Linked DNA regions of Kluyveromyces lactis. The protein of the gene in region 1 interacts with the protein of each later gene in a biochemical or structural test. Links are inferred from orthologs where the notes say so. Each region holds a gene or a part of one and is shown in the gene's direction. Other genes may lie near its edges.

What was found.
Region 2: the proteins of VAM3 (region 1) and SEC17 form a complex in vitro, tested with the Saccharomyces cerevisiae proteins (3 studies listed by BioGRID). The link is inferred for Kluyveromyces lactis from reciprocal best matches to the Saccharomyces cerevisiae genes VAM3 and SEC17.
Region 3: the proteins of VAM3 (region 1) and VTI1 form a complex in vitro, tested with the Saccharomyces cerevisiae proteins (6 studies listed by BioGRID). The link is inferred for Kluyveromyces lactis from reciprocal best matches to the Saccharomyces cerevisiae genes VAM3 and VTI1.
Region 4: the proteins of VAM3 (region 1) and SEC18 form a complex in vitro, tested with the Saccharomyces cerevisiae proteins (2 studies listed by BioGRID). The link is inferred for Kluyveromyces lactis from reciprocal best matches to the Saccharomyces cerevisiae genes VAM3 and SEC18.

The regions. Positions count from the first base shown.
Region 1 is NC_006039.1:1,128,520-1,131,020, reverse strand, and holds VAM3 (SNAP receptor VAM3), read left to right. Parts: upstream 1-1,212; coding exon 1,213-2,001; downstream 2,002-2,501. Other genes in the region: DNA-directed DNA polymerase alpha catalytic subunit POL1, read right to left, coding at 1-692; MET4 (Met4p), read right to left, coding at 2,153-2,501. UniProt on the Saccharomyces cerevisiae protein: Required for vacuolar assembly. Provides the t-SNARE function in a late step of the vacuolar assembly. Required for homotypic vacuole membrane fusion, autophagy and fusion of biosynthetic transport vesicles with the vacuole.
Region 2 is NC_006041.1:529,694-532,696, reverse strand, and holds SEC17 (alpha-soluble NSF attachment protein SEC17), read left to right. Parts: upstream 1-1,402; coding exon 1,403-1,432; intron 1,433-1,654; coding exon 1,655-2,503; downstream 2,504-3,003. Other genes in the region: RPL43B (60S ribosomal protein eL43), read left to right, coding at 249-250, 745-1,021. UniProt on the Saccharomyces cerevisiae protein: SNARE complex protein that binds to cis-SNARE complexes on membranes and is required for vesicular transport between the endoplasmic reticulum and the Golgi apparatus and for homotypic vacuole fusion.
Region 3 is NC_006038.1:899,697-902,200, reverse strand, and holds VTI1 (v-SNARE protein VTI1), read left to right. Parts: upstream 1-1,338; coding exon 1,339-2,004; downstream 2,005-2,504. Other genes in the region: YAH1 (adrenodoxin), read right to left, coding at 135-635; KLLA0_B10263g (uncharacterized protein), read right to left, coding at 2,285-2,504. UniProt on the Saccharomyces cerevisiae protein: t-SNARE found in various SNARE complexes involved in multiple transport pathways. The composition of the t-SNARE complexes is specific for a limited number of v-SNAREs and therefore allows only the vesicles carrying the matching v-SNARE to fuse.
Region 4 is NC_006039.1:1,269,005-1,272,937, reverse strand, and holds SEC18 (AAA family ATPase SEC18), read left to right. Parts: upstream 1-1,138; coding exon 1,139-3,433; downstream 3,434-3,933. Other genes in the region: PIB1 (phosphatidylinositol-3-phosphate-binding ubiquitin-protein ligase), read right to left, coding at 1-723; RPG1 (translation initiation factor eIF3 core subunit a), read left to right, coding at 3,751-3,933. UniProt on the Saccharomyces cerevisiae protein: Required for vesicle-mediated transport. Catalyzes the fusion of transport vesicles within the Golgi cisternae. Is also required for transport from the endoplasmic reticulum to the Golgi stack.

The DNA.
Region 1 (2,501 bases):
TCATCTTCGCTTTGATATGTCTTCTGCTTGCTCATTGAAGGAGAACTAGCCACATCGTTTAATAATGATTCAATATCGTGGTCCTCTTCCATTGAATCACAATCGATAGGATTAACGCTATCAGCTTTAAAAGGTACAACATCTTTACCTTTAAGTGGGGATGTATCTACCTGAGGGTGTTTATAGTTCATAGGCGTAGTATTTGCAGGTTGTTTTCTGGATATCGTTAGCTTCGGCTTCTTAACCAGAGGCTCTGCGTCAAATTCACTCAAAATATCATCAAATTCAGCAAGTGACACTTTCTTAGGTTTTTCTGTTGGCATTGTCATTTTTCTCTTGACATTTTGTTGCTTTATGATATCGCTGATGGTATCCTTACCTTTGTTATTCTTACTGGTCTTATTACGCTTTTTGCCTGACTTTGCATCAACACCATCGTCTTCATCAGAGTAGAACTCCTGACTTTGATCCCATTCATCTACACCACGATCCACATATCCACTGCCATCATCATCTTCAACAAAATCATCTCTTAACAACTCTTGTCTTTTCTTACTCCTATATTGATCCTCGTCAATCAAGTCATACACATTTTCTTCTTCCAGTTGTTCATCTAGCACATCCCTATTCGATTTATTATTCCTAGCTTTCTGCAATTTTTTGAGCAGTTCAAGTTTGTTCGCATTACTCATCCCGAGCTAGTGTTTTAATAGTGTAGGGTGGCAGTACGAACTACCCTAGTAATTTAGTTTTGTTGTCTTTCCTGGTTTGAGTTGCAAGAAGAAGATGATGAAGATGTTCTTACTTTTACGCGTTCTTTTTTTTTTTAAAGTTGTATCTATCTGCAAAGCACGCGTTCGAAATCTATGAACTTAATGGCACCAACGCTGAGACAAAGCGAGAGTGCATGAGAAGAAAAGCGAGCGAAAGATTGAGTGACAGTAGAATACCGACAACACTTGAGTGGTTAAACGGTGAAGCCGCTGAAGTGTTAGAGAGTGTGCGCTCCTCAATATTATGATACGAATTTCCATTAGTTGAACCAATTGGCGTTGGCTTGGAAAGAAAAATGGATCACATGACCTGTGGTTTAAGACTGTCCTCAATTTTAAAGTGCTCAAATTGAGGTTTGTGATCATTAACTGAAGGGAAGGATAACTGTTAAGGAAACAGCTGATAGCAGGACCCGTAAAGATAATCGCGTTACATCTGATGTCCTTTTATCAAAATAGTACTCCAAAAAAGGAGGACAATCGTGCAGATTCTAGTGGAAACGATGCGGTGCCTTTGTTGATAACACTAGAACAGAATATTCAATTACTCAAGCGTAAAGCTCATCTAATAGGGACAAGCAAGGACGGACAACTATTGAGGGTTGATATAAAAAATAGAGTAATCCCCGAAATCCAGAAAATTAGTCGAAAACTGGCTGACTTAACTTCGCTAGATACACAAGATAAATTTGCTCGAGATTTTCAAGCGTTAAGCAAACAATATAACAGTGTAAAGACCGATTATGAGAATAGGGCAGTACAGAATCCCATACCTGACGAAGAGAGTAAAGATAATGAATCGGAACATCTCGTATCGCAATATGAAAGCATGCCAATACAAGACGATATCGAGAGGAGGGATCATTCTTCAGAGGATACTCCGTTACTTTTGTCTACCCAACAGCAAGAGCCTTTGTTGAATCAGGATGAGTTAGATTTTCACACGATAATTCAACATGAAAGATCCCAGGACATATCAAAAATCCACTCTGCTGTGCAAGAGGTCAATGCCATCTTCAAACAACTAGGAAGTCTGGTACAGGAACAGGGCGAACAAGTTGACACAATTGGCGAAAATGTGACAGGATTATCTAATAATTTGCAAAAGGCGAACAAAGAACTTCACAAAGCAAATGAATATCAAAGGAAAAAGAACAGATGTGGTACAATACTTCTAGTAGCTATTGTTGTTATCACTCTAATAACTCTTATCGCGATTCTATCATAGGGTTAGATTCTACGAGGAATGTAACTATATATTAATACAAAATTTATCTCTGGCCTTATACTTGGATGAAAGTTACGTTACGTTTTAGAGAACACGCATCATCAGGTAAATATGTCCGACTTAGAGGTTACAACTAATTATTAATCATAGCTTACTTGTCAGTATCCTTTTTAGTGCTTTCGGAGGAGTTATTTTTGGATAGTTCATAAGACTCAACATTCTTGAGATCTCCACGTTCAATGACAAGATTTTTGAGAAGTCTGTTTTCCATTTCAAGGGTATTGATTCTTTGCTTCAAGTCACAAGCTAACTGTGAAAGATCTTGGACCCAAGTTTCCATTTCTTTCTCTTTAAGTTTTTTAGTTTGATCCAAGTTCGGCAGTTTGGGTCTTGAAGAAAGGGTTGAGGAAGTGGACGACGATTCTACACCATCACTGGAGGAATTGTTTTTATCAGAATCAGTATTATGCTTTTTTTCGTTTATCTTCTCATCGAGACTC
Region 2 (3,003 bases), on another chromosome or scaffold:
TAACAAAAAATCTACTATCCTCTTTTCGGTCTACGCTTGTTTTAGTGGACAGTGGATCTTTCATCCTCACAGTTTTTTCAATTCTGCAAACTTGACGAGTTTCAAACTCATTTACAATACCAACCAGTTTTCATCTTTAGCAAGTGATTAGAATTTAAAGATTGTATAGGTTGTTAACTACGTTTTATAGTTGTTCATATTCACTCTTATATACCCTCCAGAAACCAAGCAAACACAAAGAAACCAAAATGTATGATACCTAATGCACACCGCGCACAGTTATGGGGCCGAAGAACTCAGTGATCGATATAACAAGTTGAACTATGAACTATGATAGACTAGACGATGAGGATTGAAGAAGACGAAGAAGAAGCAGACTGATACGATACAGGCAGACTGACCTGTTCACTAGGAGATGGAATCAACATAGAAGAAGTGTAGTGACAAATGGGTAACTGGAATTATACCATAAGCACAAGAAACTACAGCTAGATGCAAAATTCCAGTGTGATGATTTATAGTGTCAGCTCCACACGCACGACAGCAGAATAAATGACGATCTATTAGACCTCCTCCCCCAAAAAAACTGTTGTTCCTTTAATTGCAACAATTTTACTAACTTTTATATCTGTGTTATTACCCATTCTACCTGTGGTATCGATTCATTACCACCCATTATGTGAACAAATTGAATCGAACTATTGGAATCGGACGTAATGAATACACAATTCATTTTATATTCAGGGCTAAAAGAACTAAGAAGGTTGGTATCACTGGTAAGTACGGTGTCCGTTACGGTTCCTCTTTGAGAAGACAAGTTAAGAAGTTGGAAGTTCAACAACACGCCACTTATAACTGTTCTTTCTGTGGTAAGACTTGTGTTAAGAGAGGTGCTGCTGGTGTCTGGTCTTGTTCTTCTTGTAACAGAACCATCGCTGGTGGTGCTTACACTTTGTCTACCGCCGCTGCCGCTACCGTCAGATCTACCATCAGAAGATTGAGAGACATGGCTGAAGCTTAAGCTTGTTGCATCGTATAATCATGTTATAAGTATCCTTCAATAAAACGTATCTTTCCACTTTGTGTTATTTTATATTCCATCTACCCTATATAACTGATTTAGGCGTGATGGTCGAGTGTTCATCCTCGCGTCCAGCCAAATACCTTGGACCGGCTCCCAGGCCAGCCTATTTGAAAGTCACGTGAATTAATTACCCGGCTGCTGATAGCCTTCCGTTGTTTCTCCCCTTAAGGAATTTCTTTACTTTCTGATGGTAATTAGAATATGTAACATGTAATGATGATACAATGTTGATAGTTTGATAGTAAAAGTTGTAAGCAAGCTCTTGGTTGACAAAAGTTAACAGCATTCAGCCATATCCCACTCAGGTTTTCTTTGAATATGTCGGATGTTAAAGAAATTATAGCTAAGGTACGTTTTTTCTCCATCATTTATGTTGAAAGGTCAAATCAATAAGTCTAGGAAAGTATGATGACAATGGTTGACCTTATTCTCGCCTGAACCCCTAATACTAACAATAAACATATGCAAACCCTAGCCATAATGTGATGAAAGAGGAAGTGATTTATCATTCGTATTCTCTCTTTTTCACTTAATGGTATGGAAACATATCTCATGTCATTTTTGTAATAGGCCGAAAAGAAGGCTAAACCATCATCAGGATTTTTCAGTTTCCTTAGCGGTTCAGACTCTTACCGTTACGAAGAAGCAGCAGATCTTTATATCGAGGCTGCAAACCTCTATAGGCTAAGAAAGGAGTTGGATCAAGCGGGTGATACTTTCTTGAGGGCAGCAGAGTGTCAAATACAGGCTTCTAATGAAGATGAAGCAGGAAATACGTATATCGAAGCCTACAAGTGTTTCAAGACAGGATCTTCTCCAGCACAAGCTGCTGAGTCCTTAGCCAAGTCGATAGATATTTTCACAAGAAGAGGTCAGTTTAGAAGAGGTGCCAACTTCAAATTCGAATTGGCTGAATTACAAGAACAGCAATTACAGGATTACCCAAGTGCCATTGCCAATTATGAAACAGCTGGTGATTGGTATTTGCAAGACCAAGCTATTGCTCTCTCGAATAAATCCTACATTAAATGCGCCGATTTGAAAGCTTTGAACGGTGATTATTTGGAAGCTACCGAGATCTTAAAGAAAGTCGTTGAAAATTCATTGGGGAATAAATTAAGCCAGTGGTCGCTCAAAGAGTACTTATTGAAGATTGGCCTATGTTACCTTGCTGCTGGTGATGTTGTAGCTGCAGATAAAAGTTTGAACGAATCACAATCGTTGGATCCATCATTCTCTCAATCAAGGGAGTTTGAGTTACTATCAAACGTAATTGAAGCTGTAAGGGAAGGTGATACTGAAAAATTATCGCAAAAGATCTACGAATATGATAGGTTCAATAAGTTAGACCATTGGAAAACAACTATACTCTTGAAGGTGAAAAATACAATCGTCGAGGCGGATGACGATCTACTATAAAATGGTAATATTCAACTCATTCTCTTGTAATTGTATTCTTTTCTCTAACACAACTGTCACTTTTTTGGTGGAATAATTATTTTATAAATGGTGTATACCCATTTGTACAACCACATCGAGTGGTTTGTTTCACGTTAACGTCTTTCATTTCCCATTATCAACTATATCGATGCAAATAAGCTTGCCATCTGGCTTGGACGTTTGGAAATTTTGAAGATGTTAATGGTAACGAAAATGTTTTTTAAGCTTCTGACGAACGGCTCCCTTACCGTTTTGAATAAATATACAATTAAGTAAGAAATGTATCACAATTTTTTACATCTTCTTACGGTAAGAAACAAACCTAATATTTCAGAATGCTGGTACAATTTTTAATGAATATGATGATACTTCCTCAGCAAATCTACTAGATGAGCCTACGCAAAAGGCAGTTGATTGATAATATCACTAGATGAATGAAAACACATCAACTGAGGGGTAACATGATCTCTAAAACGTTC
Region 3 (2,504 bases), on another chromosome or scaffold:
GCTTGGTTGATTGCTCCTATTTACAGGTAATGCAACTGGTGTCACTCATGTCATGCTTCCCCTGTTGGGAAAAAAAGAAAGATCTAAAGCTGTCTCTTTTCATATGATGACTGAATTCAGTTTAGTCATTCTCTCTATTCGAAGTCTGAAGATGAAACATTTCTTGTCATTGAAGGAAGAGCGACTCTGATACCATCGATATCCTTATTCATTTTAATGCAACATCCCAATCTACTTGTCTCAGTTAACCCGTAAGCCAAATCCAACATATCATTTTCATCATCGTCAGGTTCTTCTAATGCGTCGTAATAGTCTGGGTCCACAATCACGTGACAGGTCGAACAAGCACAAGAACCACCACAGGCACCCTCCATATCTAGATTATGGCCTTGAGCTATATCCAAGAGAGAGTCCCCTTCTGCCACTTCAAAAGTCTTTTGTGTTCCATCCTTCAATATGAATGTCACATGCAACTCTTCTCCCGGTTTCGGTTTATGTAAATGTCCATGGTATCTCTTCCATGACAAATTTGTACGGGCTAACCATATGTTGTGAGAGATGCTAGGAGAAGTAATGCTTCTGGCTCTTAACTGGTTCAGATGCCCAGCTTGTCTAGTCAATATTCCTCTGATCATTGATTATACAGGAGTTTTTCCAAATAGATATGGATGATTAAAAATAATTCACAAACAACAACGATAAGTGTTACTAAAAGGAAACCAAAGACCCTTTCCGTCTGCTATACCACAATGAGAAAAAAAGCTGTCCTGAACTTTTATCAACTCTGATTCTTAAGTAGCTTTTATTTGGCAAAAAAAGGTTGCTTTATATCTAGTTCTCCCTTCAGTTCACATCGAAATTGGCAAATGCTTATTGTTAATCATTCAATTATTGAATCTCATCGGATTTTTCCCAATTTGTCAGTGTTCATGAAAACGCCGGTATGAAATGAAACCAAAGACAAAAAAAACAGACCGTTTCTGGGCCTGATTCCACCTCGGTCTTCCGCGGATTTGGCGGATGTGGTTCAAAATGATTGTTTGCCCTTATCTAGATACTGGTCTTTACATGACTCAATCAAAGTCACGTGAACAATGTATTTTTCTTTCTTTTTCTTTCTATTCCCTTTATTGAAGCTTCTCCCATGAGTTCAAGTTAATGTTAGGAATCAACGAAAAGCAGGCCTGGTGATTAAGCTGTTATAGCTGGTAACGGGGCCTACTTCAGACGTACATTGGCCTGCAAGTTTACATTCAAACCTTAAATTTCCTTTAGGTTGTGAAATTCGGGAAGAGATAATATAAAAAGGAAGGTTCTGAACCATATTATTTTATCAGGATGTCCTCATTATTGCAGAACTATGAATCTGAATGTCAAGTCGCTATAAACCAGGCGAAGGTTTTGCTTGCTAATGCTAAGAATGATGCCGGTGCTGTTTTAAAAGGTGGAAAATCGGATATACTTTTACAAATTCAACAGTACCATGATGAATCTTTAGAATTAGTGGATCAAATGGAAATAGAGTTGAATAATACAGGGAACTCGTTGGATTCTAAGACAAGGGCATCTTATAAAGCAAAGATCAGAGATTATAAGAGACAGTGTCAGAATGAAATTAAGGATCCTTTAAAGCAATTGGTGCAAGAAAGCGATAGGAATAAGTTACTTGAAGGTCGCCACTTCGATAATGATGAACAAAGGCAACAGCTTTTATCGAACCATGCGCTTTTACAACGTTCTGGTGATAAATTACAGGATGCTACAAGACTGGCATCCGAGACTGAGAACGTTGGTGCACAGATAATGATGGATTTGAGATCTCAAAGAGAAACATTGGAGAATGCAAGACAAACTTTGTTCCATGCTGATTCGTACGTCGACAAGAGTATTCGCACTTTGAAAACCATGACTAGAAGACTCATAGCCAATAAGTTCATTTCTTACGCAATAATAGCGGTTTTGATACTACTTATCTTGTTAGTGATATTCTCCAAATTCAAATAGTAATCGATTTCTCTGCGTCTTTTAGTTCAGTCTCAATGCAAGTTTAAGCAGAATAGCTATAGTAATGAATTTATATAATTTTAATTTTGACCCTTGTGGTATAATTTTATACTCTCATGAGAAGAATACAATTTACCGTGTATAAATGATATCTGATTTTGAATACTTATCTAGTTGTATATAAAATAAGAACGATATAAGAAATAATAATAATAAAAATAATAATGATAATGATAGTAATAGTGATGGAAAAAGGCCGGTCAGAATAGCATAGCGCTGTTCATGGAAGACATTCTAATTCATCTTCATCAGCTGAATTGATAGTGGTATGAGATAGACGCCTCCTTAATTCATTTACTAGACGTGATTCTTCTTCGGCTAACTGGTTCTGTTTCAGTTTCTCGAAGGTCACACCTTCTTCATCGTCTTCTTCGCTACTGATGATGCTTCCGGAGCGCTGAGCAAGTTTTGCAGATTCACGTCTTGTGCTACCAATACAA
Region 4 (3,933 bases), about 140 kb from region 1:
AGTTGGACTTCCGATAAGACTATGCTGCTGTTGAGCAAGTTCTGCTTGCCGTATGCATTCGCTTACATGTTCTTGTTGGGCTGCTTCTTCTGATCCGAAAACTTGTAAGTCAAAATTACAAATTGGACATCGATCGTAATCTTCATCAGCAGCATGTATATTCCTGGGACTATTTCTCTCGCTTTCAGTTTCTCGTACATTTTCCACAACGTTTTGGTTCTTCATAAATTCAAAAGGCCTTATGGACGATGATCGGATGGAGTTGATTTCGGAAGTAGATCCCATAGAATTTCCGATTCGTCTTGGTGGTTTCGGTAACTGTATTTCACCCCACGCAGTTCTCAGTAGCTTCATTTGTAATAGATTTTCATAGCAGGAATCACAAGTCCTGTACGGTTCCATTTCATACTCTGCTGGACTTTTCAAAACCACTTTAACCCGGTTTTTATCATACCATGCGAATTTTGAACAACAAGTAGCACAATAAATTCTGCCACAACATCTACAGTGATGACGCCTCACTAGAAAACTAAACTTGATCCCACAACTTAGACACTGCGTCACATTCTCATCCTTTTCCCACTCGCCAAACTCGTTCACAAACTGACTGGAAATATTACCATTCCGCCATCTGTCTCTGTCTCTCCTTGCATTATCCGAAGAACCAGTGACAGTCATCGTTTCACCATCGACGTGCCCTGCCACCAGAGCACCAGTAGTCATGTCAAAAATTCAGCTGATTTTCTATGTAGCAGCCAATAACCTGCTGTGTTCACAGAGTGCTCTACTGTCTTGGACAATTGATTACAGCCACTATTGTGCTTTCATGATCTCATCCTTAAAATGATGTGCTTTCTGTTATAAAACTGATTCTGTTGACAAATTCCTAATGTTAGCAGCATACATTCTGAAAAAAAACCATGAAATCGAGGAAACAATAGGTGAGAAACAATACTTTACCTACAATTAGACAGACAATTGCCTGAAAACAGTACGAGAAGACTAAGTAATATAAGGTATCGTTATCAGATCTTTAAAAGCTAACTATACAGTTGAGTGAATATTATATTCTTTTTCTTCAATTGACAATCCAAGAGTTCACAGAAAGCTATAAGTGTCATTGCGCCCCTTTTGAAATATGGAGAAATTCGGGTTGAGTGGCAAGTTGCCATCTTTTGGAAAGGCCACGCATTCTACAGGGGTACCTGATATGTCTAATGTTAATATGAGTACTAGACAATTGCGTGTCGCTAACTGTCCAAACAACAGTTATGCATTGGCTAATGTGGCAGCTGTCTCACCAAGCGATTTACCAGAGAATATTTACGTTATTATAGACAACTTATTCGTGTTTACCACAAGACACTCTAACGAAACTCAACCTGGTACCATTGGATTTAATGGTAACCAACGTACTTGGGGAGGTTGGTCATTGAATCAAGATGTACAGGTGAAACCGTACGATTTATTCCAACATTCGGGCAAGCATGCGTATCTAGGATCTGTGGATCTGGAAATCAGTTTCAGGTCTAGAGGAAAAGCCGTGGAGACTCCTTTTGATCAAGATGAACTTGCTAAGCAATTTTTAAAGAGTTTTGAATCCCAAATATTCTCACCAACGCAGTACTTGATATTCGAGTTTAAGGGACATATCTTCGATCTAAGAGTAAGATCAACGCAAACTATTGATTTGGGAGATGTAGAAATTGTAGCTCCGGTTTCTACCTCAATTGAAGCTAAGGCAATCTTAATCAAACAAACTCAGATAAACTTTTTCAAAGGAAGAGATGGATTGGTTAATTTGAAATCGTCCAACTCGCTGAGACCAAGATCGGATGCCGTTATTAGACCTGATTTCAAATTTGAAGACTTAGGCGTTGGTGGTTTAGACCGCGAATTTACCAAGATTTTTAGAAGGGCATTCGCTAGCAGAATTTTCCCTCCAGCTGTTATTGAAAAGTTAGGCATCTCCCATGTCAAGGGTCTTCTATTGTTTGGACCCCCAGGTACAGGTAAAACGTTGATTGCCCGTAAAATTGGTACTATGTTAAACGCAAAGGAACCCAAGATCGTGAACGGTCCTGAAATCTTGAGTAAGTACGTTGGATCTTCAGAGGAGAACATCCGGAACCTATTCAAAGACGCGGAAGCTGAATACAAGGCAAAGGGAGAAGAGTCCTCGTTACATATAATCATTTTCGATGAGTTGGATTCTGTTTTCAAACAAAGAGGCTCAAGAGGTGATGGAACTGGCGTCGGTGATAATGTTGTCAACCAATTACTTGCCAAGATGGATGGTGTCGATCAATTGAACAATATCTTAGTTATTGGTATGACCAATCGTAAAGATTTGATTGATAACGCTTTACTACGTCCTGGTAGATTCGAAGTACAAGTTGAAATTCAATTACCGGACGAAGAAGGTAGAGAACAAATCTTCGAAATCCAAACCAAGAAAATGAGAGAAAACAACATGCTCGCACATGATGTTAGCTTGAAAGAACTTGCATCACTCACGAAGAATTTCTCCGGTGCTGAAATTGAGGGTTTGGTGAAGAGTGCTAGTTCTTTTGCAATCAACAAGACTGTAAATATCGGAAAAGGGGCAACCAAACTAAAAACCAAAGACATTGCAAACATGAAGGTGACTAGACAAGATTTCTTGAATGCGTTAGATGAAGTGACTCCTGCGTTTGGTGTTAGTGAAGAAGATTTGAAGACTTGCGTAGAAGGTGGAGTCTTTAGGTTCTCCAACTCCGTAGACGACATTTTGAAAAACGGTGCTAGATACGTCCGTCAAGTGAGAGAGTCAGACAAATCAAGACTAGTATCCTTACTAGTGCATGGTCCTCCAGGTTCAGGAAAAACTGCCTTAGCTGCCGCCATTGCATTGAAGTCTGAGTTCCCATTTGTTAGATTAATTTCCCCTGAAGAAATAGCAGGTATGTCGGAAACGGCCAAGATCGCATACATCGACAATACCTTCAGAGATGCTTACAAATCGCCACTTAACATTCTAGTTATCGATTCGATAGAGACTCTAGTTGACTGGGTTCCAATTGGTCCAAGGTTCTCTAATAATATCCTACAAGTACTCAAGGTCTATTTGAAAAGAAAACCTCCAAATAATCGTCGTTTGCTTATCATCTCTACTACGTCCGCTTACACGGTGCTTAAGCAAATGGATATACTAAGTTGTTTCGACAACGAAATTGCTGTCCCAAACGTATCAAACCTAGATGAACTGAATAACATTATGACAGATTCCGGATTTCTTGACGATGCTGGTAGAGTCGAAGTTATCCGCAAATTATCCCAAGTTACATCTACTCTCAACGTCGGCGTGAAAAAAGTACTCACAAACATTGAAACAGCAAGACACGATGAGGATCCCGTCAATGAACTTGTTGATCTAATGGTGCAATCATCTTGAATTATACTATTCATTTCTAATATGATACATTTATATATATATATATATTATACATATGTGATATGTACTCGCGACATAGCACATAAACTTCAACTTCGTTCTCAATGATATCAACTTTTGATGAAGGTTGAAATTTTTCAGCATGCTTCCGTTGAAGATCAAAGAGAATAAGTGAAAAAAAACTTTTCAGTCTATTTATGTGAAACTTCTTCCTATTGCACCTTGCAAAATAAAGATATATACTTGGATCTAGTCTCTGATTTAGAAAGGGTAGATAACAACCGTTCTCGACCCATCGATTATACTAGCATTTCATCATGGCTCCACCGGCTTTACGTCCTGAGAATGCCATTAGAAGAGCTGACGAATTAGTCTCTGTTGGCGAGCCAATGGCTGCGTTGCAATCTCTATTTGATTTATTATCTTCAAGAAGGTCTCGTTTTGCTGATGCTGCCACTTTGGAACCTATAATCTTCAAGTTCTTGGAACTTGGTGTTGAA